Tamandua tetradactyla: one gene and its partners. The protein of the gene in region 1 interacts with the protein of each later gene in a biochemical or structural test. Links are inferred from orthologs where the notes say so. Each region holds a gene or a part of one and is shown on either strand. Other genes may lie near its edges.

What was found.
Region 2: the proteins of JAG1 (region 1) and NOTCH2 form a complex in vitro, tested with the Homo sapiens proteins (2 studies listed by BioGRID). The link is inferred for Tamandua tetradactyla from reciprocal best matches to the Homo sapiens genes JAG1 and NOTCH2.
Region 3: the proteins of JAG1 (region 1) and NOTCH1 form a complex in vitro, tested with the Homo sapiens proteins (3 studies listed by BioGRID and IntAct, with this or other methods). The link is inferred for Tamandua tetradactyla from reciprocal best matches to the Homo sapiens genes JAG1 and NOTCH1.

The regions. Positions count from the first base shown.
Region 1 is NC_135327.1:50,133,373-50,140,507, forward strand, and holds the start of JAG1 (protein jagged-1), read left to right. Parts: upstream 1-4,066; coding exon 4,067-4,147; intron 4,148-4,610; coding exon 4,611-4,916; intron 4,917-7,135. UniProt on the Homo sapiens protein: Ligand for multiple Notch receptors and involved in the mediation of Notch signaling. May be involved in cell-fate decisions during hematopoiesis. Seems to be involved in early and late stages of mammalian cardiovascular development.
Region 2 is NC_135337.1:641,668-649,006, forward strand, and holds the start of NOTCH2 (neurogenic locus notch homolog protein 2), read left to right. Parts: upstream 1-4,282; 5' UTR 4,283-4,524; coding exon 4,525-4,597; intron 4,598-7,339. UniProt on the Homo sapiens protein: Functions as a receptor for membrane-bound ligands Jagged-1 (JAG1), Jagged-2 (JAG2) and Delta-1 (DLL1) to regulate cell-fate determination.
Region 3 is NC_135328.1:126,089,859-126,097,197, reverse strand, and holds the start of NOTCH1 (neurogenic locus notch homolog protein 1), read left to right. Parts: upstream 1-4,255; 5' UTR 4,256-4,262; coding exon 4,263-4,320; intron 4,321-6,007; coding exon 6,008-6,089; intron 6,090-7,339. UniProt on the Homo sapiens protein: Functions as a receptor for membrane-bound ligands Jagged-1 (JAG1), Jagged-2 (JAG2) and Delta-1 (DLL1) to regulate cell-fate determination.

The DNA of each region.
Region 1 (7,135 bases):
GTTATCTATCGATCATTACAAATGGACCTTCCATTCCAGAGAACTTAAGTTCAATATTTTGGTATTGCCCATCTTATTCTTGGCACCCTGCACAATACCCGGCACACACAGGACTTCAATCACTATTTTCCCCAACATTTTATAATGAAAAAATTTCAAACATACAGAAATTGGAAGGAATTTTACAGTGAATACAAGTATACCCCTATCTGGGTCTTCTTGCATTAGCTTATCTATCCATCCAGCCATCCCTCTATCCACCCATCATTTCCTCTAGTATTTAAGGCATTTCTAAGTTGCAGATATCATTTCACTTCCCCCTAAATGTTTCAGCACCCATATAATTAACTCGAGTGGAATGCATTTAAAATTCTTTTTCTTACATGAACACATAATGAAATACACCCATCTCCAGTGTACTATTTAATGATTTTGACAGATGCATATAGCTGTGTCAGCCAGACCCCTCGTCAAGATCCAGAACATTACTCACCTTCTGAAGGAATCACAACTCTCTTTTTAAGCACTCTTCACCTCCCAACCCCTAAGCCATCACTTCCTATAAATTTTTTGTCATAGATTAATGTTAACTGTTCTAGAACTTCATATACATGGATTCATACAGTATGCTGTCTTTAGTATCTGGCTTCTTTCACTCAGTATATTTTTTTAGATCATCCATGTTACTATGTGTTGACAGTGGTTCTCAGCTGATTTTTATCAGTGTCGATTAATAGGGAATTCAACTAACCAAGTATTTAAATACAGCTAACACCCTTTGATTCTCTCTTATTAAGCCAGTTGGGGGTTCAGGGCTGCTGTTTGTTGATGACTCAGGAAAGGTGGGGCAAGTTTTGTAGTAAAAAAGAAAAACGAGGCATTATTTTTTTTAAATTAAAGGCAAAAAATATATCCAAGGAAGGCTATGATTTGAGCACAGGAGACAGGCCAGGCAGTAACTGACTGTAAGCCTTGCCCCTTCTCTCAGGTGTGAAAGCTAAATAGCATTATTTTCACAGAACTTTCTTGGGGCATTTGTTTACACTTGGAAGGCTATGTCCAAAGGCAGGAAACAGCCTGGCCAAGGGGAAATCTCCACATTTGAGTTCTTTTGGCAGCAGGTCCCCATTTTTGAGGGAATGAGGGATTTCCACTCATTGTCTATTGCATTAAACACTACTGGCTTTTGGGGGGGGGGGGGGGACTATCAACTAATTGGAAGAGCCCTGACTGAAAATTTTCAAAGATTTCCCTCTAACCTACAACTGTTTTCTGAGTGAGTTCCCAAGCTCAGGAAGGGTGAGGGGGCACTGTGCTATTTGGCATGAGAGTTTTGTGTTGTTTATTAGTGATTGCTTTGGCATTCTTGCGTTAATTTGGGAGTTGCAACCCCTCAGAAATCTATGCTGTTTCTTACTAGTCAGAGGCCAAACTCACCCATGGACAGGAAGCAACCCTGGTTTACCAGCAATCCTAGGGAGTGTTCTGTGGTAAAGCCAAGTGACAGATTCTAAACTCTTCAAGGCCTGGCTCCAAAGCCTCCTTCCTGGGGGTGGAATGGGGTGGGGGGCAGGACAAAGAGACAAAACAGGTGGGAACATGACGAACCCCAAATCCCCAAATTCTGTGCATTGTCTTCAGGAATTATGCTTTTTTTCTGCACCAACATTTTGCTTTTTGATCATTACTTAGCACCACAATTTATGGAGATTTAGGAGTGGAGGCAGGGAGGAGGTGGGATCCAGACAGGGATATTGGTTTACAGAGAAAGTGGTGAGGAACGGCTAGATGGGATTAGAGGACCAGTGGACGCACTGTAATTAAGATAATTGTGGGAAGGGTGCCGGGGCAACTCAAGAGAAAAGACTGCCTGCCCAGCTGCCAGTATGACCTATTACACACTTGTTCTCTTGGATGTAGCCCTTCCAAAACTTCACTCACCAATGATTATCACAGCGGGACAGATTACCATGAAGGCACCTTTCCTAGCAGCTTTTCTTGGACTGTTTAAATGCCCATATTCCTAATCCATCCTTGGTGGCTTTGAATCAATTTAGAAGAGCCTCCTTATTTGATTCCCCAGCATGATGAGATCTGGCGCTGAAAATATTGTCCATATTGAGCCTTCTACCAAATGCGCTTAAGTAGATAATAACGCAAAGCATCTACTCTTTTACACTCTTACAGCTCAACCCGTTGGAAACTATTTTCCTTTGAGCCACTACAGCCCACCATCCTTCACAGCCCCGGAGGGTTCAAGCCCAAAACTGAACCCTGAATAGTCGTGCTTTTCCGTAGGACATACTCAAAGTAAGGTCCAAAACTGCTTGATCTTCAATGGGAGACAATCTTTCCCTAAAGATGTCTCCTCAGACACAGCAAGCAGGCCCGCTGGGAAGGGTGCTTGGTAATTGCTTCGGCCAGCTCGCGGGTCTCCTCAGACCTTGGCTATGACTGTTGGGTCTCACTGTTAAGTGTGAGCTTGCCTCCAAGTGGAAAATACCATCAGTTTCCCTGCCACCCCAGAGAAGGCAAGGCTCTGCTGCTGGGCGGTGGCGGTGGCGGCGGCGAGACGGCCCCTTCCAGATACAGCCTCGTGCCACCCAGAAAGCTGCTCGGAGGCCGCCTACAGGTGCAATCCCGTCACTGCAGCCCAGGCGGCGAGGAGGGTGCGCGTTCGAGCCCACCAGTATCTCTGCCCGCCCGCCACCCAAAGCCTACTACCGGCCCTGCGAGCCCGACCCCCTCCGCCCCCACCCACTCGCCCCGGATTCCCCGCGGCCCCGCCCTGGCGCAGTTTGGAAAGGAAGCTGGGAGTCCTCCGAGAGAGACTCCAAGACTCGAATTGGGGTGAGGGGGGGGACAGGGGGGATCGCGGCCGAGGCTTCCCCTCGAATTTGCGGCAAGCCTGGCTCCGGGAAAGTTTTTCAAAGTTCCCAGCAGCGCCTGCCCAGGTCGCCTCCGCCGGGCGAACAGGCGGCGGCAAGCGCGCCAGCCTCGCCGCCGCCTCTGCCGCCAGCGGAGCGCTCTGGGCGGCTCGCTCCTCGCGGGAAGCGGGCCGGGCTCCCGGCGGGCAGGCGCTACTCCCGGGCGAAAGCCGCAGCTGACGCAGGCGGGTCGGAAGGCGGAAGCTGCCCAGCTCAGGCAGCCCCACGGCCCCTACACCTGGGACCCCGACGGGTGGGCTGAGATACCCAGCTTGGGGCGTGCGAGGGAAACAGGCCGCGCGCGGCAACCCCAGGCGCCCACGTGGCCCCCAAGTCCGTGAGCCCCTGGCCCCTGCCAGGTTCCTCCCTCTGAACCCCCACCCCACTCAAGAACGCCCACCCCGCCTCCCCCACCAGCCACGCCAATCTCAGAGCTCCCGAGGGCGGGGGTCTGCACGGGGCCCCGAGACATCAGACCGCCCCGCGCGCCTCAGAACACCCAGCCCCAGCCAAGTTCCTCCCAGCTGCCCCTGCCCCTCCTCCCCATCACCCTGGGAGGAGAGGGCGTGGCCTGAGTGGGACCGCCCCTCATGAATATTAATAAGGGCGCATGCGCCCTGCCCAGGCGCTGGGTAGAGGTGGCCAGCCCGGGCCGCGGCTCCCAGACGGGCTCTCCGGGTCCCTCTCTGAGAGCTGGGCGGGAGCGCGGCATTGTGTTACCTGCGGTCGGCCCGCGAGCAGGACTCAGGTTTTTTTTTTTCCCTCCCCTCCCACCTCCTTTCCATGCAGCTGATCTGAAAAGGAATAAAAGGCTGCGCATAATCATAATAATAAAAGAAGGGGAGAGCGAGAGAGGGAAAGAAAGCCGGGAGGTGGAAGAGGAGGGGGAGCGCCTCAAAGAAGCGATCGGAATAATAAAAGGAGGCCGGGCTCTCTGCCTTCTGGAACCCGCCGCTCTTGAAAGGCCTTTTGAAAAGTGGTGTTGTTTGCCAGTCGTGCATGCTCCAATCGGCGGAGTATATTAGAGCCGGGACGCGGCGGCCGCAGGAGCAGCGGCGACGGCAGTACCGGCGAGAGCACCAGCGCGAGCAGCAGCGGCGGCGTCGGCGTCCCGAGTGCCCGCGGCGCGCGGCGCAGCGATGCGGTCCCCACGGACGCGCGGCCGGCCGGGGCGCCCCCTGAGCCTCCTGCTCGCCCTGCTCTGCGCCCTGCGAACCAAGGTAGGAGCCCGCCGCGCCTGCCCTGTCGCCAGGCCTCCCTCTGCCACCCTCTCCCTTCCCTCGCGGCGCTGAGGACGCCGGCGGCGGGCTCGGCGACCCTTGGACGCCTGGCTGACCGTACCCCGCGCCTGAGTGGCTGCACCTGGGCTGGGCGCGCCCGCTTTCTCCCTGGCAGCCCCGGGCCTCCTAAGCGTGGCCACTGAGGCTGAAAGGAGGTGCGTTTGTTCTCCTCCTGGATCCCCGCGGAGTCAGTCAGGCTTCTCCCGCACTCGTGCATTTTGTGCCTCTAAATCACGTCGCGTCCTCGAACCCAGTTCTGCAAAATTATTTTCACTTGGCGCTGAGTCTCGCCAGAGCTAGCGAGCGAGCGAGCGGGCGGGCGGGGAGGGAGTTGCCACCTCCACCCTCGAAGGAAACTACTTCCCTCCGCGCTGACCTACCTTCCTCCCTCCCTCGCCGGCAGGTGTGCGGGGCTTCTGGTCAGTTTGAGTTGGAGATCCTGTCCATGCAGAACGTGAACGGGGAGCTGCAGAACGGGAACTGCTGCAGCGGCGCCCGCAACCCCGCGGACCGCAAGTGCGCCCGCGACGAGTGTAACACGTACTTCAAAGTATGCCTCAAGGAGTACCAGTCCCGCGTCACGGCCGGGGGCCCCTGCAGCTTCGGCTCAGGGTCCACGCCTGTCATAGGGGGCAACACCTTCAACCTTAAGGTCAGCCGCGGTAACAGCCGCAACCGCATCGTGCTGCCTTTCAGTTTCTCCTGGCCGGTAAGTGACGGACGCGGGGAGGGGAGGCCCGGTCGAGGGTCGCACTCCTGCGAGGTCGAGTTCAGCGTGCCCCGGTGAAGGGAATTTAAAGGGCCTTGGCTTGAAACTCGACGCTAACTGGGGAAGGCTTTTGGGAGCGGGGAGTTAGGGAGCTGAGGCCCTATAGTTACATCTTGGCGGGACCTGACTGAGCGGGCCCCAACCCCCTGCCGTTTGCCAAACTCGCAAAAGTAGGGATCCCAGTGGGGCTTGGGGATCAATAGAGGTCCCAGGAATGCGGGTTTAAACTTGCACCTTGAGGGCCGTGGAGTAACCGCCCAAGCCTCGGGGTGGTCATTATAGGTGGTCTCTTTGCTTAACCAATTAAACCTGGTGCGCGGTGGAAGGAAAACTGTTCTGGCCTGCTAACGCCGTCCAATTTGGCACTCTCCCCGTTCCCGCGAGCCGCCGGGAGGGCGGGTGTGTCCTTCCTGGAGCGGGTGGGGAGACCCGTTTCCCGCTTCTCCCCCGGAGTTTTTTGGTGTGTGCGGGGGCGCGCTCTGGGCCTGGAGCACGGGCCCGGGAGCGGCCGCCAAAGGGGGGCCTCGGGGCCCTTGCCCGGGCAGTCGGGCGGTGAGCCTCCGCCTCCTGCCGGCCCCTTCCTGCCCCCGCCCCCGCTCGGTGCAACTCTTTTGGCCTCACTTCCAGCGATTCCCCAGCACTGGAACAGCTGTGTTCGCAAACTTCCCGGGGAAGGGCGGGGGTGCGAGCGGGCGCCCTGTCCCGCAGGCCTTCGGGGGCGTGCCAAAAGGAGTGGAAGGGGCGGCTCGCCGGAGGCTGTGACTGCAAATGCAAGTGCAGGGACCCTCACCCCTCTCCACTGCCCCCCAGAGCCGCTCCAGTCCCGGGCCCAGCTGACGTGCCCCGCCACGAAGCCGTTGCAAAATCTGAAATGGGTGGAAGGAAGATGGGTGCGATTACAGAAGGGGAGGAAAGGGAAATGTTGGGGGTGCCCTTTGCCTGGCTTCTCCTGTCCAGGAGGCGTGACTCATTGCCAGGCCTGGGCTTGGCCCAGCCTGAGCTGGGGGGTGGGGTGGGGACTGGGTGCCTGGAGGAATGTTCTCCGCCACGTGCTCTGCGGGGATGCCCTCTGCTGCCTCCTGTCGTGGACTCGGGCTGTGATCCTCCACCCGGGGAGGTGGGAAGGCGAGGGATAGAGTGCCAGGTCGGGTCTGAGCTCTGGGAGACTTTTAGGGCTCACGTTGCAGGAGCTGGTGACGTCCTCGGCCTTGTGTGAGATGAGACCATTATCAAAAATGTGCCACTGAAGGGGAAAGGGGCTTCTAAAAACCTGTGGTATATGGAGTCCTCAGATTGGAGGGGCTGCTTCTGTTGTGGCACTTGTTTTTACAAAGAGTGCTTATCTTGTTTGCTAATCCCCTATTAGGGAGAATTTTTAAGCTAACAAGACTCGCCACTTTTAAATCTGGCTATGAGTTAAACTGAATACTGACTGCCCTCTGATGTGTATTTGGAATTTAGGAGGAAGGGGTTGCAGGTGTTTTTGCCCTCCCAGTCAGAGCCCCTTGCTTTTCACACCACCATAAAAGGAATCTTATTAGTGATGTGGAAAAGCAGTAAGCCTGGCTGAGGTCCGTTTTGGAGGATAGAGTCAGAGAATGGCTTAGATGAAAACTGGGAGCCGTGTTCTCCCGGCTGGCTTGGGGAAAGTGACCTAGAAGGTGTGTCTGTCCCTTTTTGACACTTGGCAGAGAGTTTCCTCTGGATGGAAGAAGAACGGAAGCAGCATGCGAGGGCAGCGGAAACATTTGATCTGCTGGTGCCTTCTGTGGTTTCAGGCCTGCGGGTCACTGACCGTGAAATAGACTGTTGGCTCTTCTAGAATGGGGGACCAGGGGGCATACACTGCGAGTGTGGTTCTTTTGAAGCTGGGCCAAATGTGTATATCATGCATAAATAAGTCTCCGCCCCAGTTCTCCAAAAAAGGCCTCCTGTGAAACATAAGCTCCACTTCCCAAGAGAAATTGCAGTTTAGGTATGTTGCTTTATTTTCCTGACTGTGATTGGAACTCCACCATAAGTGACTTCCAAGAATGACTTCAGGGTGAGTGTAAACTTAAGTGAAAGGTAGCTGAAAAGGACTGAAGTAGACAGTTTGGCTTCATTCGATTTGGAAATTAAATATTAACAAGTATGTTTTTTTAAAACTGACTTCTTTG
Region 2 (7,339 bases), on another chromosome or scaffold:
CCAACTGACTTAGCCTGGCATTCTCCAAGACATCTAGACTTTCCACCAATTTTTCAAGACACCGTATATCCCCAGTTTATACAGACATATGTTTTCTTCGTTCAACATTTATTTAAAATGTATACATTGAGGACGTATGTGCTCCACTGTGCTAGAAACTGGGTGAAAATGGATAAGGAAGATTTTTGCCCTCGAGGAGTTTTACAGCCTATTTGTCTGAGAAGAACAGACATGACCACAAATAAATGCATTTCTACTTTGGTTTGGGGAGACGATTTTAAATGTGAATTTTATGTGTAAAGACATAAGTATAGTTTTAGTTTTGATTAAAATTAAAACCAGTGGGGGCCCTTGTCCATGGTTTTCTACTGATAATGGTCTGTAGATTTTTATTTGGCTCTGGAGACTGAGATCCCCTTTTTTTTCCCAATGAAATTTTGTGGGATCCCATCTTTCTCTGCACGAGTGAAGCTATGCAGAGAACTTCAAGGATGAGTGATGGCTATGATTAGTTATGGGATCACTTGAACGTTTTCCTGCCAATTTCTCCTATAAAGTAGGATTTGCTTTGACTAGAAGTATTGTCCTTAAGGAAGATCATTCACAATCCAGTTGAGTAATTAAATTGCTGAGTACATTTGGGGTTGATATTCCCAGAAAGATCCTGGAATTTCATGTCAGCAGCTACTCCAATTGTGAGACAACACCACAAGTCCCCTTGATTTTTAATGTATTAGGAAAATATTCAACTAAAAGTACACTATGGGATTTAGGCTTAGCTTTGAGAAGAGTCCAATAGCAGAAGGCATATTTCAGTGCAACTCCATCTTCTTAGTCAGGTCTCGCCCAGTTCTCCTTAAAGTATTCAAAACCTATTGCTTTTACTCCTGAAGACAGTTCTCCCTCTTCCAGTTAGACTGATCTCTTGCCTACTTATCTTCACCAAATCTCCTCTTCCTTCTCCAATATTCCCCATATCTAGAAACAGCCCCGTCATGTCTCAAGGCACTGTGTTCATTGCTGATTCCTTGATCTACCTTCAGTCTTTCACCTAAGCAGTCACTCTATCCTCACAGCCCCTGCTTAAATTCTTATTTTCTTAAAGTTAGGGAACAGGCTCTGGTCTCTTTTGTTTACCTGCCTCTACATTTGCTATTCCTTGGGTCTGGAACACCCCTAAACCTCTACACATGTGAAATCTCTTTTTTTTCTTTATTTTTTGCCTGGTTAAATGAACCCTTTGGTCCCTTATCTCTCAGTCCTGCTGTTGGGTTCCTCGCAGAAGCCTTCTACGCCCACCTCTAGGCTGGCTTAGGATTCACCACCTCTCCGCTGTGAACCCAAACACTCTGTACTTGCCACACTCATTGTTGGCTTACTTGTCTGTCTCTCCTTAAGCTGTATCCTCAACCCCTAGCACAGCGTCTGACCCATGGTAGATGATCATTAAAATGCTAGTTGATGGGTTGGACTTATTTCTTCTCATCTCTTGGTCTTTGCAGATTCCAGTTTCTTCTCTTGATTTTAAGCTCCTCACATTTTTTGTTTTTAACAGTTATGCCCATAACTTCCCACAAAATCTGTCTTTCAAAACATCTCTTCAGTTGCAGCCTTTATTTCAACTTCCATTCATAAACATTTACCCTTCATTTCTCTTGTCCTTACAGGAACATAACATTTTAACAAATCTAGCAAAATTATACATGAAAAAAGCACTGCTTTTTTAAAAAGTCACCTTGAGAAATTGTACACCTATTTAGTCATTTCTGGAGCTGCTCTTTGGGGATGATTACCTTCCGAGTACATTCTTCTGAGTCTATTTTTATAGTGACATCTTCAATTTTTGCAGGTGATTTTCAAAACTTCTATAGAGCCAAGAAACTATGAACAATATCTATTGAGTAAAGAGGATGATCAAGCTGAGGAATACCTCGATTTGGGTCAAAAAGTAAAAAAACTATGAACACAATTGCACATGAGAAAGTCCAAAACTGTTTTGACTAATTATGTCATTTTTGAAGTGTTTCTATCCTTTCAAGGTGATTACTTTCAGCTATCGTATTTGCTTATCTGTTAGAAAGTGCTTGTTAAAATAAGTTCTGGCCTATTGTTCACATGATTTGCACTTGTTTAGTGTTGATCTACATTCTTAGATTGACAGCTACTATGTGATAGACAGAGGGCGCGGCATGCACAGAAGTATATGGCCACGGTCCTTGCCCAAAAGGATGTCCTAATCCAGTTGAGGACAGACATACAAACAGTCCTGTGTGAAAAAGAGATGTCGGTGTAAGATAAAGAAGCAGTACACAGGACGTATTGTCTGTGAGGGGCAGGAATTTGTTACAATATTGGCAAAACCTGCTCAGGATTGAAGGATGAATGATGATTAGAAGTTTACCACGTGGAGGAGGGAGGGGCTAGAAGAGTGTTTCCAAACCAAGGGAACAGAAGGTACAGAGACTAGAACAGCAAGGTATGCTTGGGGAATCTCACGTTGTTCAATACTGTCATTGTATCAAGCTCAAAATGGGGCATGGAGGAGGAAAGGAGGCTGGAGACTAAGCAGGGGGTCAGTGAGAGAAAGGCGTTGTGTGTAGCATTTTTAGGAGCTTGGATTTTTAGGAGCTTGGACTTTATCTCACAGGAGCCAGGGAGAGGTTCTGTGGGTAGGATTTCTCATTCAACTGGATTGTAAACTCCCTAATGCAATTAGTCATACAGGTTTGCACCACCTCACCCCCACCCCCACCGTTTCCTTCTCCGCCTCCCCCCTTTCTGTAAAGCCAACTTCAGATCCATCGCTCGCCTTCCACTGTAACTTCCGCTTCATTATTAAGACCTTCATCACCTCACCCATACACTGTCTGACAATCTCCCTACCGGTCCTGGGGCTCAAGTTCACCTCTTTCTCCCTACAGTCAGTTTCGCACATGAGTATCAGAGCAACCTTCCTTTACATCTAGTCTCATCCCTGTTCAAAAACCTTCAGTGGTTCTCCACGGCTTGAGAGATAAGACCCTTATTTCTCTTTCTCAGCTTCTCGCTCAAGGTCTTACACAATCTAGTCCCAACCCTCCTCTCTCTAATTCCTCTCTCTGCTAACAGAGCCAGAACACATCTCACTTATTCCCTTCTCTGTGCCTTTGTTTTTATGGTGGCCTTCCCCTGGGATGCTACCCCACTATAACTTTTATCATTTATTTCAGCTCTTTTATTTTGTATGGCAAACCTATTTGTTTTCCTGCATGGTCACACCTTCACTCTTCTGTGCTGGAAGGAAACACCACTGGGTTATATTCTTTTACTATATATGCATGAATTCATAAATAATATATGGCATTGTTCGGGGGGATTAAATATACATAAGTGGCATTATAGTTTATGTCTCTTGCAATTAGACTTTCCCTATCATTTTGTTTTTAGGATTTATCCCCCCGACATAAATGAATAGCCTTCCATAGCTGACTTGCATTTCAATTTAAGTATATCCTATATTAATTATTCATTACTGTATTGGTGGGCATTTATGTTGTTTCCAAGTTTGGACTATTAGAAACAATGTTGCAACCAGTATCCTTAGCTTGTCTCCTTGTCCTATCCACATTTTAGTAAGCTTTCAAGATTTTGGTCTCATTGCAGCTTTTCCATCTGAGCCTTCCCTGAAGCCCTCGGCTCCCAGCAGTTTCTGCCTTCTGGACCCTACAGTAGCTTGAGCATCCAGAGTCTTTAGTATCATTTCGTTGAGACTAGCACACTGACAGGAGAAGTAAGGTGCTCAAGTAGTATTTGCCAAATGAATGAATGGTGCAACACAACCCAGCCGACGGCTCTGCTCATTCTGCATGGACTTTGGCGCCTTAGTCTGCAAGTCCTTCTCTGACAACAGTGGTCCTTCTCTACGGCGTTCCTTCGAGCTAGCAGGGGTGTGGGCATCATGCCCGTCTCGACGGGTGAGGTCTGTCCCTCTGCAAGTTCAAGATCTCGGCAGCCGTGGTATCTGCAGGTCACAGCCCTAACACGCACCCCCCTGGCCCTCCGCATGGCCCCGCGACGCCGTCTAGCTCCGACCGCGCGAAGGCGGGTCCCAGCGCGACCCCGGGCGGGGAAGGATGGCGCCGCGGGGAGGGGGCGAGGGCGGCGGGGCGGCGGCGGCTCGCAGCAGATCCTTCCGCGCGCAGCTCGGGCCGGCGCTTCTTCCTGCGGGAAACCCCTGGGTGCGAAGGCGGCGGGGCCGAGGCCGGGCGGCAGCGGGGCGGGGCTTGGCGGTGGGAGGAGGCGGCCGAGGCGGAAGGACACACGAGGCGGCTTCGTTGCACAGCCGAGAAAGTTTCAGCCAAACTTCGGGCGGCGGCGGAGGCGGTGGCGGGGTGGCGGTGCAAGGAGTCGAGGCATCTAAGCCTGAGTTTCGGGGCGAGCCGCCGCAGGAGGAGGCGAGGAGGGGAAAGCGGGGGCTCCTCTGTCGGGACCCCCTCCCCATGTGGCTCTGCCCAGGCGGCAGCGGCGGCGGCGGCGACCGAGAAGATGCCCACCCTGCGCCCCGCTCCGCTGTGGGCGCTGCTGGCGCTCGGGCTGTGTCGCCCGGGCCCCGCGCGCGGTGAGTATCGCGCGGAGGGGCGCTGTCCCCTGCGCCCGGGGCCGCGCACCGCCGCCCCCACCCCGGCCCGGGCCACCTGGGGCGCGCGTCCCCCCTCTTCCGTCCTCGTTTCTGTGGGCTCGGCCGCCGGCGCGGAGGGAGGCCACTGGGTTCCCGAAAGTTTGGGCATCGTCGGGCCCCTCCCTCGGCGCGCCCCCTCCCCCGCGCTCCGGGCCGCCGCCCACTGACCCACGCGCGTCTCCTTAGCCGGACGGAGGCCGGCCAGCCAGCCCGTCTCAGAAACCCCGGTTTCCGAGGACTCGAGTTCGGGGAATTGGGCAGTCTGGCCCTTTTGGTTCCGCGTTTCTTGGGGTCTGGGGAGAGCCGAGGGCGGGCTGACCCAGGCGAAGGGTCGGCGGCGGCGGACCGCGGTGGCGCTGAGCGAAGGAATGCCGGACTCCGGTGTGGAGAGCGGGGGCAGGGCCTCGAGCCCAAGGCTTGCACCTTCGCGGCCACGCTTTGCTTTGCCAAAGGGAGGCAGGCACACGGCCCGGGCGTGTGGGTCCCGCCTGGATGGGGACGGGGTTCCTCAGGGCGCCTGGGTTTTGACACTCCGACCGGATGGTCCCGAGGAGTTGGGTGTGTTTGGCTCGAGTTTTTGAAAGGTGGTGGCAGGAGCAGTGGGGAAACTGGTGTGGCTGCATGCTGAGCACATGATTTAAAAATCTCAACTGCTATTATTCTTTCCGAGGCGCGGAGCCCGGCCGCTGTTTCAGAGTCTGTGTCCAGCCCCAGGAATGTGGTGTGACGTTCGCCAAGTCCTCCAACCTGGCAGCACATTTGCTGCTCATTTGGCAGGATGGGGTGGGGACCTGGGGCGGGCGAGGAAAAGTGGATAGGTTAATTCATAGTGCCTCCTTAGAAAGCCTCTTTACGGTTGGATACTTGGAGCAGCCTTTCTAACCCAATTGGACCAAGGAAAGGAAATCAAATCATATCTCATGCATCTCACCCCCAATCTTAGATTCTAAAATTTTCAGACTGTTTTAATGGAAAGAGCGTGGGCTTTGGAGCCTTGCTCTGTAATCGAGGGTTCAAACCTGGCCCTGCTGTATGAGCTCACCAATAAAATGGAATGAAATTAACCCCTCTAATAGGATTAATTAAGAGAATGTATATAAAATCCCTGGTACTCAAAAGGTGTTTGGAAAGCCCTTTCAGAGCAGGGGCTGTTTTATTCTCTCTGTGCTCCCACTTCCCAGGAGATGGTGTCTTGTGCCTGTTTGTTCAGTTGAACTGAGCTGCCTCCTTCCTGAGCCTAATCTGGAGGGGTATTTTACCTTTACCAGAAAACTGATACACGAACCACGTCTTTTTTCAAAGAAAAGGTTAAGAAGATGATGAACTTCAGAAAAAATGGGTCTGTTCATTCTTACCAGGAAATGGATATTCTGATCACAGATGTTTTAAGAGAGAACAGGATCATTTACCAGGAGAAAACGTAGCGTTGGCTTATTCACATTCTGTCCTTCTTGGAAGATCCAGATTCTCCACACTCCTCTGTTCCTGAAAATTTCCGACGTGGCTTGGGAGGCTGTGTGACCATGAATCAAAACTGCACTTTCTGAAGCGTTTAATAAAAAGCACATGATGGTGTTTTGCCTTTCCTTTTTCTCTGAGCGAAATCTTTTGAACGAGTGTAGATTTAGGATGAAGTGTGGACAGTGGGCCAGTCTAAGCGTTACAGTCCTTGGCCTACCATTAACTGGTTTTCATAAATCATTTAAGCTTCATGTTGAGTCTTCATCTATGAAATAGGACTAAAGGAATAACCTAACCCACTTTAGAGAGTTATAGGAAATAACAAATGCTATTGTAAAGTGATTTGCAAAATGAAGGGTTCAGTGATAAGACTGATGTCAGAAATAGGATTAATGTGACCCATAGGGCTTCTTTGATTATAAGTTCAGTTGCCAAACTACTGTGATGGAAGACATGAAAGGCTGTTTCTTGGTGCAGATCTTAAATCTCAGATTCTAGCGGTGAAGTCTTCTTGGATCTGCAATCCAAAGCCATCGTGTTTTTACCAAGGTCTCACTGGTAATGCACCCTTCCAGCCTTTCCACTGATCCTGTGTTTGGCTTGTGGCCAGTTGTTAATTTAAACATCACTGAGTTCCTAAGCCAGGGAGCTGTCAGCCCTTCTGTCTGATTGTCTAAACAGTTATCCAGGACCACCTCTTGCTCCTTTTCTGCTTTTGCTTGCAATGGGAAGTGACTCCCTCGGTTTGCCGCCTGTTACATAATTTTTGAACTGAATTCTCTTCTTTTAAAAAAAATCACCAAGAGTAATTGCTTTTTCTTTCAGGTGAAGAGGAAATCTACCTTAAAGCTATTTTCCTTTTCCTTTTCTTTCTTCCTATTCCATATTTCCTTATAAAAATTCTTTCTATCTTATGATTATCTTTGGGGAGATGAGAATGATTGCGTTTAATCTCTTTTTCATGATGTTTTTACTTTTCTGAAAAGATTATCTTTAGCCACATCTCCTCACATCTCTCTGTCCAATTCCCACTCTGCTGCCTCTCCTCTAGACGTCTTATGCATAAGGGAGCAATTTTTGGTTCATCTGGATTCTAGTTACTCACTTCAGGTTCTTTAGAGAATGTTTAAATCAGTGGGATATGCTTGGATGCTTCAGAGAAGCCTTACAATACATTTTAAAAATATCCTACCCACAGAAATTCTATTTTGCCCACAAAAT
Region 3 (7,339 bases), on another chromosome or scaffold:
GCCATGGTGCAGGGTCCATGGAGGGTATGGGCTGGCCAGCCAGGAGTTAGGGCCCCGCTTGCTTGGTGGACTTGCACGGGGAGACCAGGGTCTCGGACCCTGTGTCCTCTTCCTGCGGGCTGTCCGTCAGTCATCTGGTCGGTGAACAAACCTTCCGGAAGCATCCATGGTGGGTGCTGGGGACCAGGCAGACACCAGCCCGGCCCTGCCCTGCTTTCAGGGGCTCACACCTTTGAGGAGTCAGGCAGGGACAAACGGGGGGGGCTCATTTCAGGTGGAGGACACCAGTTATGCCAAGCTTGGAGGCAAGAGAGAGGGGACAGACGGAATCCAGCCTGCCCTGGTGGGTGCAGAGCCCCAGGGGCCTCCTCCAGCACTGTGGGGTCCTCTAAGGACATGTGGTGGGTGGGCAACTGGGCTGAGTGGGCCTCTACATAGGAGAGGGGGAGGGGACAGGGAATCAAAACCAAGGCCCAGTCTGACCCCTCTCCACTCTCAGAAGGCGGGAGAAGCCCTCCTAGGTGGCCTGATCCCCTACTGGTACGAACCCACCCTCAGGAAGCAGCAGAGAGGAGCTGGCCGACACCCACCATCATGCCCTCCTTGCACGGCGACAAGCCTTGCCGTCCAGGGTCTGGCAGAGGTGGACTGGGTGCTGAGTCGTGACCCATCCCTCTGCATTAATGCCCCACGGCCACCAGAAGCAACTTATTCTGTGACAGCCGGCCCTCAGGGAAACGCTTGAGGTGGTTTCAAAGTGGAAAAAGGCAGCCAGGACTTTAGAAGGCATTCGATAGACAGGGAAACTGAGGCCCAGGGGTCAAAAGTGCCTAGGGTTGGCCAGCTGGTCAGCAGTGGTATCCAGAATAGAGCCCAGTGCTCTGGCTCCAGCTTTGCAAGCACGTCACAGAGTCTTTTACCATCAACTTAAAAAGACAGAGGGCTCCCACCCTTTAGTATTCTGGAATTCCCCCATACCCTTGGAGCTAGCTCCAACCCCGAAGGTCAGGCCAGTTCCCCAGCCTCAGGCCGTACTTTCCTGTGCCCTAAATCGAACAATGTGAGCCAGAGGACAGGTGTCCCCAGAAGCGTTATCAGTGCACACAGCCCACTGCAGCCTTCAGGGGCCCCTGCCCTAGCGGTCGGATGCTGCTGAAGAACTGGGCCTGGCCAGCCCTGAGAAGGCACTGAGCCTCGGCTTCCTCACCTGAGATGAGAAATGGGGAGACACATGCCTCCTCCCCCTTCCAGGGCTGCCCCCTAGGCTCCTAGTGAAAGAAAAGGGGCCTTACCCTTTTTTCTCAGCCCTGGCTGCACCTTGGAATTTCCTGGGAAGCTTCTGATACCACTGGCACCCCCACCCCCCACCCGCAAACCAGGCTAGAGCCAGTTTGGTCTGAGTTAAGGTTGCTGAATCCGGGCTGAGTATACAGCAGTCGCTCCAGAAATGCCTCTTTATTTACCTTGGGATGTATTCTGACCTCAGAAGGACTTGTGGATGGCATGGGGGACAGGGATGGGGTGTGCTTTGGGGGACAGGAATGGCCCAAGGTCAGCAGGGCCTCCCCAGCTCAGCCTGAAGGCAGCAGCCCTGTATCTGGGGGGCCTGTAGAAGAGGGTGGCTGCCAGACACCCCAGGCATCCCTCTGCACCCAGACCCCATGGCTTCCCCTCCCTTCCACCCCCCACAGGTTCTAGGACTCCAGTCACTCGGGGTCTGTCCAGGGGGTGTCCCTGGGAACCTTGTCCTGACTCCCACCATGGAAGCCGCTTCATGATCTGGAGGGGTTGCAGCCCCCGTTTAGCCTCTTGCAGACCCACCAATGTCCCCCCACGGGGTTCTGGAGCGGCCAAGCTGTGCTGGGTTTATCCTTAGCCCCCCAAAACCCGCTCCCCGGGGCTTCCTCGGGCTGCCTGCCCTGTTGGAGAAGTTTCAACAGGCTGTCCTGGCCTTACCCCAGCTTGGTCAGGATCCCCATTCCCCACGCCACCCAAGACCCCTGGATAAGGAGGGACCAGGACCAGGGAGGCCAGAATTCTCTGGCCTCATTTGTGAATAAAAAAGCTTAACATCCACTTGTCAGGGCCAGGCCCACCCCCTTCCCAGGCCCAGAGGGGAACCCCACCCCCCATCTACCTTGGCTATATTCCCTCTCCAGCTTCAGGCACTTGCACTTCTCCCTTTCCTGGGATGCCCCCACCCCCAGCTGTCTTTGGGAACCCCCCAGGGGACCACAGAGCCCTGGCAGCCGAGTAACCTGTGCACTCAGCTTTATCCCTGGTGAGCATCAAGTGTCTGTTCTCTTCCGGCTGGTGAGGCCCAGAAGGAAGGGGCTGTGGGTACACCTGGGCTCACACCAGAGAGGGACTCTGGTCCAGTGCTCCCCTGCTCCCAGCCATAGCCAGACTTCAGATGGGAGAGAACTCACTTCAAAGCCAGGGCTGGAGGTGCTTTGCCTTTCGGCCTGGGGCTCTCTGGGTGGAGTGGCAGGGATGGGGTGAGCAATGTGTGCCCAGAGTCCTGAGCCTGTGAATGGGGGGTAGGGGACAGGAAAGGGGTCTGTGCAGCACTGTTCTTCCTTCTAGGGGAAAATCTGTACCAGGCTGCCCAGCAGTCGGGCTGCTGTGATATAAACATTCCAGCTGCCTCCAGGCTCCTCCTCTCCGGGGCACTGCCCCGGGGAAGTTACCAGGCGCCCTGAGAGTGCAGCCACCTCCTGGAAGGAGGCAGCAAGGAAGGCTTCCCTCAGCAGCTGCCAGGGCCTGGGATGGCTGCCCGGGGTACTTGGGGCAGGGTGTCAGCTGCTGCCACTGTCCGGCAACAGGTGTGCCCTGAGCAGCGGTGAAATGCCGCACCACCAGGCGCCTCTCCAAGCAAGGGCCGCCTCCTCCGGAAGCCTCCGGGATTTCTGCGGTCCCGCGGCGTCTGGTGTTCATCGTGCTCGGCCGGGCCAGTTCCCGCTCGGCCTTTAGCCTCAGCTGGGGCCTCGTTTCCTCCAGAAAGGAAGCCAGGGCCAGGGCTGGGTTGCTGCGCCTCCAGCCATTGCACTCACCCCCTGTGTCGTGATGGGGTGGTGGGCGGCTGCCTGTCCGTGGCACTCGTTCTTGAACTTTGGTTATGCCGGCATCCTGGACGCCTAGTGCTCAAACGGGCTTGGCACAGGATGCCCTAGGAGAAGGAACCCGCCCGGAAGGAGCACGTGGGAGGGGCCGAGTTGGCGCCGGCGCTGGGTCTGCGCGGCCCTGGCGGGGTTTCCGGGGCCACCTGAGGCAGGGGGTGGCGGGGACAGTTTGAGGGCAGTGACGAAGGAGCATTGAGTTCAGCGGGGCCCTGCTTGGGCGAGCAGATGCACTCTCCACGCCGCAAGGCAGTGGCCCTGGGCTCTTCCCTCGAGGCGCCCAAAATCTTCACCACAGAGGCCCAGGGCGCGGCACCACCTTCGTTCAGGGTCAGGTGGTACGGTCTTTACTACCAGGACGTCTGGTGTCGGTGCCCGGTCCCCCAGGGTTTAAAGCCGCTGCCCTTGGGCACCCGCGAAAGGAGCCACGCGGTTCCGCGCGCACCCACGGACGCGGAGGGCGCGACTCCTCTCCGAGCCTCGGTCCCGGGATCTCCCAAACTTGGCCTCGGCCGCCTCTGGTCCCGAACCCAGCGCCTCTCCGGGAACGGCTCCCGCGCCTCCCCTGCCATTGAGATGCAAATGTCTCAATTGGCACCCAGAGAGGACGCCACCAGAAGGGATCCTTCCGCGGCCCGGGGCCAAACTTTGGGCCTCGGGAAACTTTCGAACGAGAAGTAGTCCCAGCGCTAGCCCGACCTCCCTCCGGACGCCCTGGCGCCCTGTTTCAGCCTGGGAGACCCTGGTTCCCTCCGGCGTGTCCAGCCCGAGTGGGCGCGGGGCCCGTCCCGGGCGCAAGGGGCGCGGGCGCGGAAGGATTGGCGGGGCGGGGCCCCGAGGCGGGGCCGGGGGCGTGGCGCGCGTCGGGGGCGGAGTGCACGGCCGCCCCGCGCCTCACTAGTGCCTCGGCTGCGGGAGGGAGCGCAGGGCCGCGGGGTGCGGGGCGCGGGGCGCCGGAAAGCGGAGGGCCCGGCGGAGAGCCGATCCGGCAGCTGGGAGACCGCGGGATCGCAACGCCCTCCCGCCGGCCGGGAAGGAGAGGAGGAGCCGCCCGTGGGACCCTCCGGAGTCAGAGTGCGCCCCAGCCCGGCCGGCCCCGCGCAGGAGGCCGCCCCGGGCGCAGCGGGCAGCCGGCGGGCAGGCATGCCGCCCCTGGCGCCGCTGCTCTGCCTGGCGCTGCTGCCCGCACTCACCGCACGAGGTGAGCGTCCGCGCCACGGGGCCCCACGACTTGCAGCGCCCTTGCAAACTTTGGCGGCTACCCGAGTCCGCGCTCCGGGCTGCGGAGGAGGGTACTGGGAGGCTCGAAGCAGCGGGGTACCCGGGAGGGGGACGGTGGGGGTGAGGGATCGGGAGTTCTGGGCACGGGAGAGAGGCGAACATCACCCCCCTCCCGATCGGGGAGGACCCGCGCTCTCTGACCCTGGGGACTGCGCCTGGAGCCGGCTTTGGAACCAGGTTTGAAGCCGGCTTTGAAGCCGGGTGTGGCGGGCCAGGGGCCCGGGCCCTTGGTCGCGTCCTAAACCAGCTACGCGTGGGTCTCGCAGCCGGGGCGGGCGGGCTGCCTACGACTTTTCGATTTGAATCGAGTCGGGCTCGGTTTCCTGTTGCTCCTCCGGGCCATTTATCTTCTTTCTTCTCCACCTTCCCGCGCGGAGTGCGGGGTCCGGGGCTCTGCGTTCACTTTGGCAAACCCTCGCCGCCGAATCGGCTTCCTGACCCTTTAGGAAAGCCGGCGCAGGGCCGCCGCGGGGCTGCGGGGTACACTCACTCCCTTGGCTCCATCAGTCCCCCCACCCCCCCACCCCATGACCACCCCCGGCCCTGCTCACAAACTTCTCGGTGAAGGGTGAGGGTGAGGGTGAGGGGCGGTGGGTGTGCAGAGCCTCAGCTGCTCCAGGATAGGACTGGTTTTCGCTTTGTAGAGTTCACATTTGGGGATTTTGAGAGGGGGGGTCGGTGGAGGGGGCACTAATTCCTCTCCCTTCCTCCCGGGAATCTAGTGCGGGTTAATTCCTCTCTTTCTCAAAAAGCTGGAGGCAAGAGTTTTCTTCTTCCAGAAAGCAGAGTTCCATGTCTTTGCGGCTGCTGCCCCAACAGAGGGACTCCTCTTACCCTGTCCTGCTAAGATGCGGAGGGAGGGGCTTCATTGATTGGTCCCTTCCCAGAAGTGGCGTTGAATTCTTTTCCAAACGGGGGCTGTTCACCCCACTCCCTGGGTGTGTTCGGGGGCAGCCCCTGGAGATGGCCCTCCTGCCGGAGCAGGTATTGGGTGTCCGAAAGGCGGGGCCAGGTCTGGGGTTGGGGGCTGCGGGTGCAGTCCCCCAGGCCCCAGGAGGCGGCCCAACCCGACAATGAGCTGCTCTGATTCTGCGGCCGGGGCTTTGTTGGCGGGCGGGGCTCCGCAGCTGTCGCATTTTCCCACGAGCAGGGAGCTGAGTTTGGCCGTCCCCTGGCCCACTGCCCCCCTCGCCAGGGTGTTTGAACAGCGAGCCAATGGCAATGGCTGAGTGTGGGCCCCCTGCCCAAGCCGGCGGGGCTGCCTGATGAAGAATGGGGTGGGGGGGGCACACAAAGTTTGGGAGAATGTCCCTAGGTTATCTCGGCTCTACTCCGCAGCAGCCCAGGTGGTCTCCCCCACGCCGGGCACCACCCCATCCACCTGCCAACCTGCCCCCTTCCCCATTTCCCCATCCAGCTCACTGGGCTGAGTGCTGAAGCCCTTGAATTTCCTGTAGTGGGTGGGTGGAGGGGCAGTCCCGATGTTCCCTGACCCCGATGTCAGGGTGGGCTGTCTGTCGGTCTCCAGAGGTGGGTGGCTTGGGGAGGGGAGGGCCTGGGACTCAAGGCGCAGGCCACGCTGACCTCTCGTCTCTACCTCTCCCCAGGCCTGCGCTGTTCCCAGCCCGGGGAGTCCTGCCTGAACGGCGGCAAGTGTGAAGTGTTGGCCAACGGCACGGAGGCCTGTGTGTGAGTATGCGCCCCGCGGGACCTGTTGCTTAGTCGGGAGCGGGAGCCCCTGCCCGCTGTGGCGCTGGGGACAGAACACTGGCCCATTGTCTTGCGGAGATGGCCCAGAAGGCTGGGCGTGGTCACGTGCTGACTTTTATTGGACAAAGTCTGGCAATTACTTAATCACCAGTAATTATGCTGCATTCGAAGCAGGAGCTGAAGCAGGTCTGGCCGCTGGGTTCCAGCACTCCCGTTTCGAGGCAGGCTTACCGGGGCTCTCAGTGGGAATCTCCTGCACCCTGTTTCTTCCTGAAGTCTCCAGTGGGCCTGCCCCGGGGCTCAGGGCCAGTGACAGGGGGGCCCAGTTCCCACCGCCTTTTACCTGGAGAGCACCTCCTTGGGGCAGGTGGTGCCTCCTCTGGGCAGGTGAGCGCCTCCTGTGCAGGTGAGCCTCTCATCAGGATATTGACTATTTCAAAACCAAACCCAACTGGCTGGGCTGTCTGCCTCTCCAAGTTCATTCCTTCCTCGCTTCAGGGTGAGGCTGGGGAGAGGGCTCGAGCCCCTTGGCCTCCCTTTCTCCCGGCACGGGGGTGGGGTGGGGGGAGTCTGCCTTCCCTTTGGCGTCTGCCTTCCCTTTGACTCCCACCTCCCCATTGCCGAGGCCCGCCGGCCCCCACCCTGGCCTCGGTTTCCCCGGCTGCAGATTGGGCACAGGTGCAGTGCAGTCTGCAGCCCCATCCTGACGCCCATAGGAAATCTGTTCAGAAGGGCACTGTCTGTGACAGCCGTTCGGCCTCGGCCAAGTGTCTGCTCTGGGCCAGTGCCCTTCAACTTGAGTTCTTCCCTGATGAGAAGGACGAGCAGATCTTGGTGGCTGCAGGAAAAAGTCCCTTCCTCCCTGCCTCGGGAGACTGCCCATGAAGAAGTGGCTCTTGGCTGAGCCGACTGCCCTCGTTCCAACTGTCGAGGGGCCCCTTACCCCGGCCAGTCCCCAGCCCCCTGCTCGGGCTCTGCCCCGCTCTGGCTGCCCAGCCTGTTGGCGTGCTACCTCCACCCCCTTCGGCCCCCCACCCTCCTTGAACTCAAGCCAATTAAGCAGGCCTGGAGCAGTGCCCCTTTGTCCGTCTCTAATGAATGCACACTACTTTTTTTTTTTTTTTTTTGCTTTTTGGGGCCTTTTTCTCCCCCAGCAGAAGCCTCGCCGCCGCCACCGATGCTTGCTGCCCTAAATCTTGTTTCCTTTCATTCAGAGCCCGACAGCTGGG